2 linked regions of the Ovis aries genome follow. The protein of the gene in region 1 purifies or fractionates together with the protein of each later gene. This does not show direct contact. Links are inferred from orthologs where the notes say so. Each region holds a gene or a part of one and is shown on either strand. Other genes may lie near its edges. The genes, in order: INPP5K and GART.

Evidence for each region.
Region 2: the proteins of INPP5K (region 1) and GART purify together in Homo sapiens (co-immunoprecipitation; 3 studies listed by BioGRID and IntAct, counting the BioPlex papers as one, with this or other methods). This does not show direct contact. The link is inferred for Ovis aries from reciprocal best matches to the Homo sapiens genes INPP5K and GART.

The regions. Positions count from the first base shown.
Region 1 is NC_056064.1:22,529,974-22,533,784, reverse strand, and holds part of INPP5K (inositol polyphosphate 5-phosphatase K), read left to right. Parts: intron 1-3,248; coding exon 3,249-3,365; intron 3,366-3,707; coding exon 3,708-3,811. UniProt on the Homo sapiens protein: Inositol 5-phosphatase which acts on inositol 1,4,5-trisphosphate, inositol 1,3,4,5-tetrakisphosphate, phosphatidylinositol 4,5-bisphosphate and phosphatidylinositol 3,4,5-trisphosphate.
Region 2 is NC_056054.1:122,632,138-122,636,654, forward strand, and holds the start of GART (trifunctional purine biosynthetic protein adenosine-3), read left to right. Parts: upstream 1-1,572; 5' UTR 1,573-1,713; coding exon of another isoform or gene 1,714-1,776; coding exon 1,777-1,918; intron 1,919-2,020; exon of another isoform or gene 2,021-2,460; intron 2,461-2,795; exon of another isoform or gene 2,796-2,990; coding exon of another isoform or gene 2,991-3,000; intron 3,001-4,517. Other genes in the region: protein SON, read right to left, coding at 1,714-1,790. UniProt on the Homo sapiens protein: Trifunctional enzyme that catalyzes three distinct reactions as part of the 'de novo' inosine monophosphate biosynthetic pathway.

The sequences.
Region 1 (3,811 bases):
AATGTGTCTCACCTCTTATTACTAATCCCTAGTCCTTTGTCTCACAGTCCAGCTTTCATGCTATTACCCTTTTATTTAAAGACCCAAACCCCAGTTGCACCTGGTTCCCTGGGGCTCCTGCCTGCCTTGTGTCTTTCTGAAGTAGCTGGAGCTGAGCTGGGACCCCAGGGGCTAGTTTAACACCTCGATATTTTTCAGGTTGGGAGAATTCCTCGGGGAGGTGCAGCAGGGCTTAGTAACACCTGATTGCCTGCCCCACCCCCAGCCTCCAATCTCTACTCAGAGACCCAGCCTGAAATCTCAGAGTGCAATAATAATTGCCACTATCTATGGTGTGCTTATTGGTGGTGGTGTTTTGTTCAGTCACTCAGTCATGTTTAACTCTTTGTAACCCTGTGTCCATTGAGTCAGTGATACCATTAAACCATCTCATCTTCTGTTGCCCCATTCTGTTCCCACCTTCAGTCTTTCCCAACATCAGGGTCTTTTCCAGTGAGTCAGCTCTTGGCATCAGGTGGCCAAAGTACTGATGCTTCAGCTTCAGTATCAGTCCTTTCAATAAATATTCAGGGTTGGTTTCCTTTAGGATTGACTGGTTTGATCTCCTTGCTGTCCAAGGGACTCTCAAGAGTCTTTTCCAGAACCACAATTTGAAAGCATCAGCATTATAAACAAACTCTTTATATACATTATTCTGAAATATAGGTGTTATATGGATAAAACCAAGACTCAGAGATCATGACAGATTTGGATGCAGATCTTTCAAACTTCATAACCCGTGTCCTTAACTGCTGTACTTTATTATTGTACTGGTGATCTCTAAGGCTGACAGGTATCCTGTGACTCTTGCTGGTATCAGAGGTTGTCCTCTGATCTTAACAGACATGCACCTCAAATCCTCAGAGACCCAGAGGTTAGAAGAGACACATGTGGAGGAGAAGGGTTCTCAGTCTATAGAGCCAGTATTCTTTGGGAAATCTTTAGACCATAGGAGAATCTGCAGGAATGCTCTAGATTGCTGGATCTTACTTGTCTGCCCTGCACAGCTGAGAGATGAAACATAGTTCCACTAAAAATACCTCCAAAAAGCATTGCTTCTCAGAAATACCAGAATTCCTTTTTCCCTTTCCCTGGGTGACTGGATTGCTTCAGAATTCACACCATGACCCTAATCTGCCCAGAGGTGCTGAGACAAGAGCTGTGAGTCCTCTGGAGGAGGGCAGAGCCAGGAGGAGGTCACATCAGATGTGATCCTGCTGCTGAGGCTAAAAGATGCCAGTCCCCAAGCCCTTGGCTCCCTCCAGATTGAACTCGGGCCTCTTCCTGCAGACTTGGAGCTGGCCCCTCTCAGAGGGCAAAATCACTTGTCTCTCACCACCCACTCCCTTCCCAAGACTGGAGGCCTCCTTGTACCTCAGCTCACTGGCAAGGGATCGGTGGGATGGACTTGAGCCAAGGAAATTAGCTCATCCCGTGGCAGGGACACAGCTCACTCTCTCCATGGGCCTCCCGAGGTTGGGAGACCAGCCTGAGGGCCTGGCAGGCACCCACTGCAGATGCCCCTCCTTTGCATGGCTGAGAGGAGAGAGTAGAGGTGAAGGGCAAGCCCTGCCTGCAGCCTGTTCCTGAGGTCGGAAGTTGCTGGCCACAGGTTGAGAAGCCTGGGGCTGATCCCCTTTGCCAGCTCCTAGGCTCCCAGCCTCCCTCCTTCTAGTCCCTTCCTTAGCTCCTCCTCCTTCATTTCCTCCAACTAGAACTTCCCCTACAAGTCTCCTGCCTTTCCCCATAGCCCCACCCTTTCTCCCAATCTGAAGTTTTCCTGCCCCACCCCCACCTCCATCCTCCCTCCCCCACCCCCACTTCCCTGCTCTTTCAGAGTGGGCTCTAGCCTGTGGGGCTGGGCTCAGTGACCCAGACCTGCTCTGTGGGATCAGATTAATCTTGAAACTCTTCCCAAATCTTTTTCAGTTCCCTGGGAGTCGGTGCCCCCCACCCCCAGGAGCCAGCCCTTCCCCACTCCCATTGTCCTATTTGCTTGCGAAGGGAAGAGACCAAGACAGGGGTGGAAAGTGAAGTTGGGGACACATTGGTAGCAACCTGTGTCCAGCTCTGGGTGCTCACGCCTCCCTCCCTCGGTCTTGGGTTCAGGGTTGCCCCTCCCTTGACTCCTCCACCATCCCAGAGCTCCTGGCCTGTGGGATCAAGTTTCATAATTCCTGGAAGGCCCCAGTACATGCTCCCCACCCGGGGATTTCCTCCTTGGCCTCTGCACCTCATGCTCCGGAAATAGCTACTCGGGTGGTGGGTGTAGACAGCCTGAAGCTGTGAGAGGGTCACAGGCCCATTCCCACTCCACCTCCACGGCAGCTGAGCGCAGGCATTCTGGCAGTCCTGGGCCTTTGACGTTGCTATTCAAAGTGGTCCTGCTGATTCCTTAGTTTCCTTGTGCCTCAGTCCTTCTGCAGAACAGGGACCTTTCTTTCAAAAGTTGGCCAGAATTAGCTGTTTTCCCCCAACCTGCGAACACGTGTCCTCTGTGCTCACTCTCATCTCCTCTGCGTGGCGTTCACGGACACCAGCTGCCCATAATAATGTGTATTATTTTTCAGTAGCGTTTTCTTAATTGTTTTTCACTAAGCTATAATGTATGGAGAAATGAAATGTAGAGTCTGGTGGATTTTTATACATATATGTAGCCATGCTGCCACCCATCAAATCAAGATACAGAGTATTTCCCGCTCTCTCATGCTCATGTCCCTTCTCTGCATTTACTTTCAAGAATCCTTAAAGTAAAAATTAATATCAAGAGCTACCAGTTAATTCAGCATCTTTAAGATAGATTCCTGCTTTATCGATGAGAAAATAAATTTGTCCTGCATCAAATACTAACAGCCCAAGCTGGTTTCTGAATCTAGATCTGGCCCTTAGCCATTGTCCCATAAAGCATCTCTGAAGTTCTTTGAGCCCCTCCATGCATGGTACCCGTGGGAGCTGAGGAGGACACTAGGGAGAAGGGCACCTGGCCATACGTGGGCTGGGGTGGAAGAGTCAGTGCCCTCCTGATGGTGGGATGTCTCCACCCCCTGCGGAGCCCCCAGATTGCCTCATTTGGCAGCTGAGACTCCCATCAGCCCTGAGATGCCCTAGACCCCTAGGGCAGGACATCCGTGTGGCTCAGGCAGGGCTCTCAAGGGCGCCCAGCACAGGCCCTGGAGGGACATGAATGACTGTCACCCTTCTGCCCGCAGGTCTCCAGTGTCCGCATGCAAGGGCTCCTCTTACTGATCTTTGCCAAGTACCAGCATTTGCCCTTTATCCAGGTCCTGTCTACTAAATCCACCCCTACCGGCCTCTTTGGGTACTGGGTAAGGACTGAGCTGTTTTCTGAGTCAAGAGCTGGGGGCCTTCTCTCACTGGATGGGGGAGGGCTGACGGCATTAGAGCTGGGCAACTGAAAAAGGGATTGACTGAATTGAAAAGAGGGGGTGAAATGAATCTTGGCACTCTGTCCAGGCCAGTGCCCCGCATAGCTGCCTTCCCTCCTCTGGGGGGCCTAGTGTCCCTGGGACGGCAGGTAGGTGAGCTGGGCTGTGCGGAGGTGAGTGTCTGCTGACCCTGGGAGATCCCGCAGGAACTGAGACCATCTGCCCTCAGGCCCCGGATGGGAAAACAGAGGTGTGTCCCCCCACTTCCTGCCCACCTACCAGGGGAACAAAGGGGGTGTCAACATCTTTCTGAAGCTTTACGGCTACTATGTCAGCATCATCAACTGCCACCTGCCCCCCCACATGGCCAACAATGACCAGCGGCT
Region 2 (4,517 bases), on another chromosome or scaffold:
GACTTTCTTTACATTTTTCCTAAGCACTTACACTGTGCTGACCTTACTAAAAAATCCACGGATTTAAAAATCCGAAAAGTAGGAATAAAAAAAAAAAAAAAACAGGCAATCTATAAGAAAGTAATCATCTTAAAGCTCTCCAGATGTTCATTCAACTACTGAAAAAGGGTGGAAATGTCAAGGCACCTAAATATCAATACAATCCTACAATAAACAGAATTCTATGGAGCCTGGAAAAATGTTCCAAACCATGATAAAAGTTCACAATATACAGGTTAAAAAAAAAAAAACACGCAAAACAAGATGACCACATTTCACAAAACACGTGCATCTGTATGCAAAGGAAAAAAAGTGAAAGAAGATAAAGATCAATAACCATGCGTTTTAAAATTCGTTTCTCTATTTTTTCTAAACCTAATACAACAATAAAACTTCTAATACAAAACCTAATTTTTAAAAGGTATAGAAATAAGACATTACAATTATCAAACACAACTACTGATTGCATGCAACTATTAAAAAGTTTCCAGGAAAATTCTATTCCCTTAGCTCAGGTCGTTTCTCACTATCCTAAAAATAACTAGCATATTACAAAATTTCAAAAAGCAACTAAATCAATGAACAGATATATTTCCCACTTGAAAAACAATGTATACGCAAAGAATTCCAGCAAATCTATATCATTACCCCATAACCGTATGTTAATTGGAGCATTCAGTTTACAACTGAGTTTCCGGCTATTTTTCAAATTCACCTCACGTTTGATTCTAGCTCTCAACTTTTTAAAACACAACTAACAATGCATTTCAACTCGGAACAAATGTTTACGTTATGCAAAATAAAAATACAAAAAGACAACCACTAAATAACATGACCCACGCGATTTTCCTTTCCGAGTAAGCAACTATTTCTTTGAAAGTCTCTTCCCATTCAAATTGTGTGGAACCAAGGGTAAACTAGTAGCGATGACAAAAACAGCGTGTTGGTCAAATAGGTCAATCGGGGCAGAGGGAGCAAGAATATTTAGACCAATACACGAACTCCACTTTTCGCTTGCTAAATTTAGTAATTACTAGTAATTCAAAGTCTCCTTCCATCCTCGCCTCGAATATTCTGTCAAAATAACTAACGTTAACTTTAACTGTTTTAATTTAAATTTCTAATCTACCAGACTATTTAAAATGCTACCTGGTGGAAGCCACAGGACATTAGGACCCAAATAATCTTCTCAAAGGATCCCGACCCCCAAGTGGTCCGAAGCTTGCAGTAATAAAGCGTATTTAAGATTACTCAAGAAACGGCCGTTAGACCCCTTTCCGGTCAAAGACACCGGCCGGCGAAATCCGCGGAGGCGGAGAGGGGGAGGGGAAGCGCGGCGGCAGAGCTGAGGAAGGAACTAGGCCCATCCCCGGTGGACAAGCAGGCCTACAGTAGCTAGACGGTAGGGGATACCCAAACAGGACAGAAGGCTGAGCATCTTAACTCGGTTCTAGAAGAGACAGCCTGGGATTATCTCGGAAAGGGCGAAGTTCCTCGCCGGGAAGGGAGGGAGCGGATGGGGGTGGGGGGGCCGGAAAATGGATCCCAGGCCCAGGCGGGGCTGTAGCCGGGCCTGAGACGAGCAACGACAGCGTCTCCGAAGAAAGATTCCATGGAAGGCCCCGTGGGGTCCCAGCGGTCCTTTGGGAGCAGAAGAGTCTGAGGAGAGCTTACCTTGAAAGCTCCTGTTGAATTTCCCGGAATTTACTGACCACGAAAGACCTAAAAATCTGCTCGATGTTGGTCGCCATGGCGTCCGCTCCGTTCTCTCAACTCCTCCTCACCAGTCCTCCAGGCTCCCAGCATGCCTCGGGAGGAGGCGCAGCGGCCAATTCCGTCTCTCGCCGTCCTGATTGGCTCCTGTGGGAGAGCCAGACCGGTACGCTCCGCCTCCGAACCTATCAGCGAGCACGGCCCCGCTCTCCTCCGCTGTTTCTGAGCGTTTGGGGTAGAGCTGCTGACGTTTGCGCCGCGCACGACTGTGTCCGCCATGTTAGTGACTGACGCAGGCGCCATTACAGGAGAAGTCTCTCTCTCGAGGTGGCTGTGTCGGCTTCAGTTGTCAGTCTTCAATAGCGTTTGGGGGAGGGGGGGCCGTTTAAGAGGCTTATTTTAGCCACTAACTACCCGAGATTAAATTCCGTGAGGAAAGGGAGCGGGGAGGGCAACAGGGTGCTCCAACATGTCTCCGCGTTTCGGCAGGGGAGATCCATTCGGGAAAGCACATTATCAGCGCCTGCCCACCGTACGAAGAATAACGTTTTCATCCCCCCATCTCTCTCCCGTGGCATCCTATAATCAGCTTTTTTTCCCCCCATTTTAGCATTGGGTCAGAGGTCACGAGCCAGCTGAGCTCAAACCCTGGTGCATTCTAATCTCGTCAGGAGCCAGGCGCATCACGAGACTTTTGCACAGTAGCCGGTCAGTTCTGATTCCTAAGCAACACACAAGTAGCTGAACATGGGTTTAGCATTTTGGCGCTCCCCACCGTCAGAGCTCAGGAGGTTCTGGAGGGGAGAGTAGATTTTACGTGGCACCTGGTACCACAGAATTAAACACTGTAAACGAGTAGGGTTTAAGAGATTAGCTCCGGAGGGGAGGTTCAGGCCGTGCCCGAGAGCGGGAGGGCGTCGTTCTTGATTACCTCGGGGTGGGGACCACGGGCCCCGCCAGCCAATAGGGAGGCGAACCCTCGAGGGCGGGGTGGGAGGGCCGAGCGCGCCGGATTCCGCGCGCCCAACTTCCGGCGCGCGTGGAGTACATTCAGATCCAGAGCGCTAGGCGAAGGTCTACGTGGGGACCCCGAGGTCACCCAGTATCGCCGGGTGAGTTTCCTCCGCCTCTCAGTAAAGTTGCTTTACGGTTTGGCTTGGCGGATTTACTCTCAGGCGTGAGATGAAACTGTGTGAACCGGTTTGGCTGCAGGAATTTTCATCTTATTCCCACGTGCCATGGGTGAAGGTTGGCCATATGCTTTTTCAGTTTTAACTGAGGTTTACAATAGCTCTGTCATTTCTCTGCTTTAAGTGTAAGGGCCCTTTTTGTACCTTTATGCTTTTTTTTTAATGCCATGCACCAGAATTGCATATTTTCTTGTTAATTCCGTCCTTTGTCTCTAGCAGGTTACTTAATCCCATTTTGCAGTTGGTTTCTGTGTTATGTTATTCACCACGTCTTTTGAAATGGCTTTTCTTGGCTCTCTAATTCTCTGTTATGTTATCCATTTAGACGACTGAGGCCCAAGAAGGTTAAGTCCCTCCAGGTTTCCCAGCTAGTAAGTCTTAACCCTATCCCAGGTCCTCTGACTGAAGGGCTCCTAGCCACTCCTGGATGTACATTCCCTCAGTCTGAGTCCTAAAACTATTTCAGAGATCTACGATAATCCCTTCACTGCTCCTGTAATTCACACTAATGTCTACTCTAGATTTAGAGTATATTTATTTCAAATATTTCAATATACATGGCAAGTCTGTGTTTTCCATTGACCATTTTCCTTTCTGAGATAACTTAGTAAATTTTTTTCTTCTTCATATTTTCAATTGTATCTGAAGCAAAATTGCTTCTGTTGGAATCTCACCCTCTGATCTATGTGACCTGCAGCAAGTTACTTAACCTAACTGAACCTCAAGTATGTTTATCAGCAAAATGGGCATAGTAATCCTATCTACCTCATAGAATTTTAAAATTAAAAGCATTTAGAGTAGCATCTGGCAAGAAGTGCTCAAGAAGTGTTTTATATTATCAACTTAGATTTTTCTTTAAATATGTATTCCTAGTATTTCATAAGTAACTGATTTCAGTTTTTCCTGTTATAAATTTGCATTCTACGTAATTAGATGTCTTCTGAAAACTAGTAAATGAATATGACAAATATGACAGATTATTCACTCTTTTGGCTTTCTAGAATTTCTATCCCTGAAGCATCAGTTTAGACAAAAGTAATCAAATGTAGCATGTTAGCATTCTTTTACTACTGAGTGTATGCAGTTGTACTAATTACTTATAAATAAATGCCATTTCAATTCTTACTATGCCTCATAAGGCACATTCTTAATTCCACCTTGTAAGATAGATGCATAGAAATCGAATTGCAGACAGTAAGAGCTTAACCAAGGTCACATGCTCACTTGAGCAGAGAGAGAGTTACCCATCCTGCTCAGGATCAGATGCCAGAACTGAGTGAGATGTGTTTACATTTGATTTTTGCCTTCTGCACCAGTTTCCTCTGGGAGGAGGGGCTGCTGCATCCCATGGGCTTAGCTGCCCTTTGGTACATGGGATCTTCATTCCCCAACCAGGAATGGAACACGCATCCCCTGCATTGGAAGGCAGATTCTTAACCACTGGACCACCAGGGAAGTCCCTTTGCCAGCATATTGCATTTTAAAAAAAAGATTTATTTACTTATTTGTATTTTTGGCTGCACTGGATCTTTTTTGCTTTGCTTTTGCTTTCTCTAGTTGCAGAGAGCAGGGTCT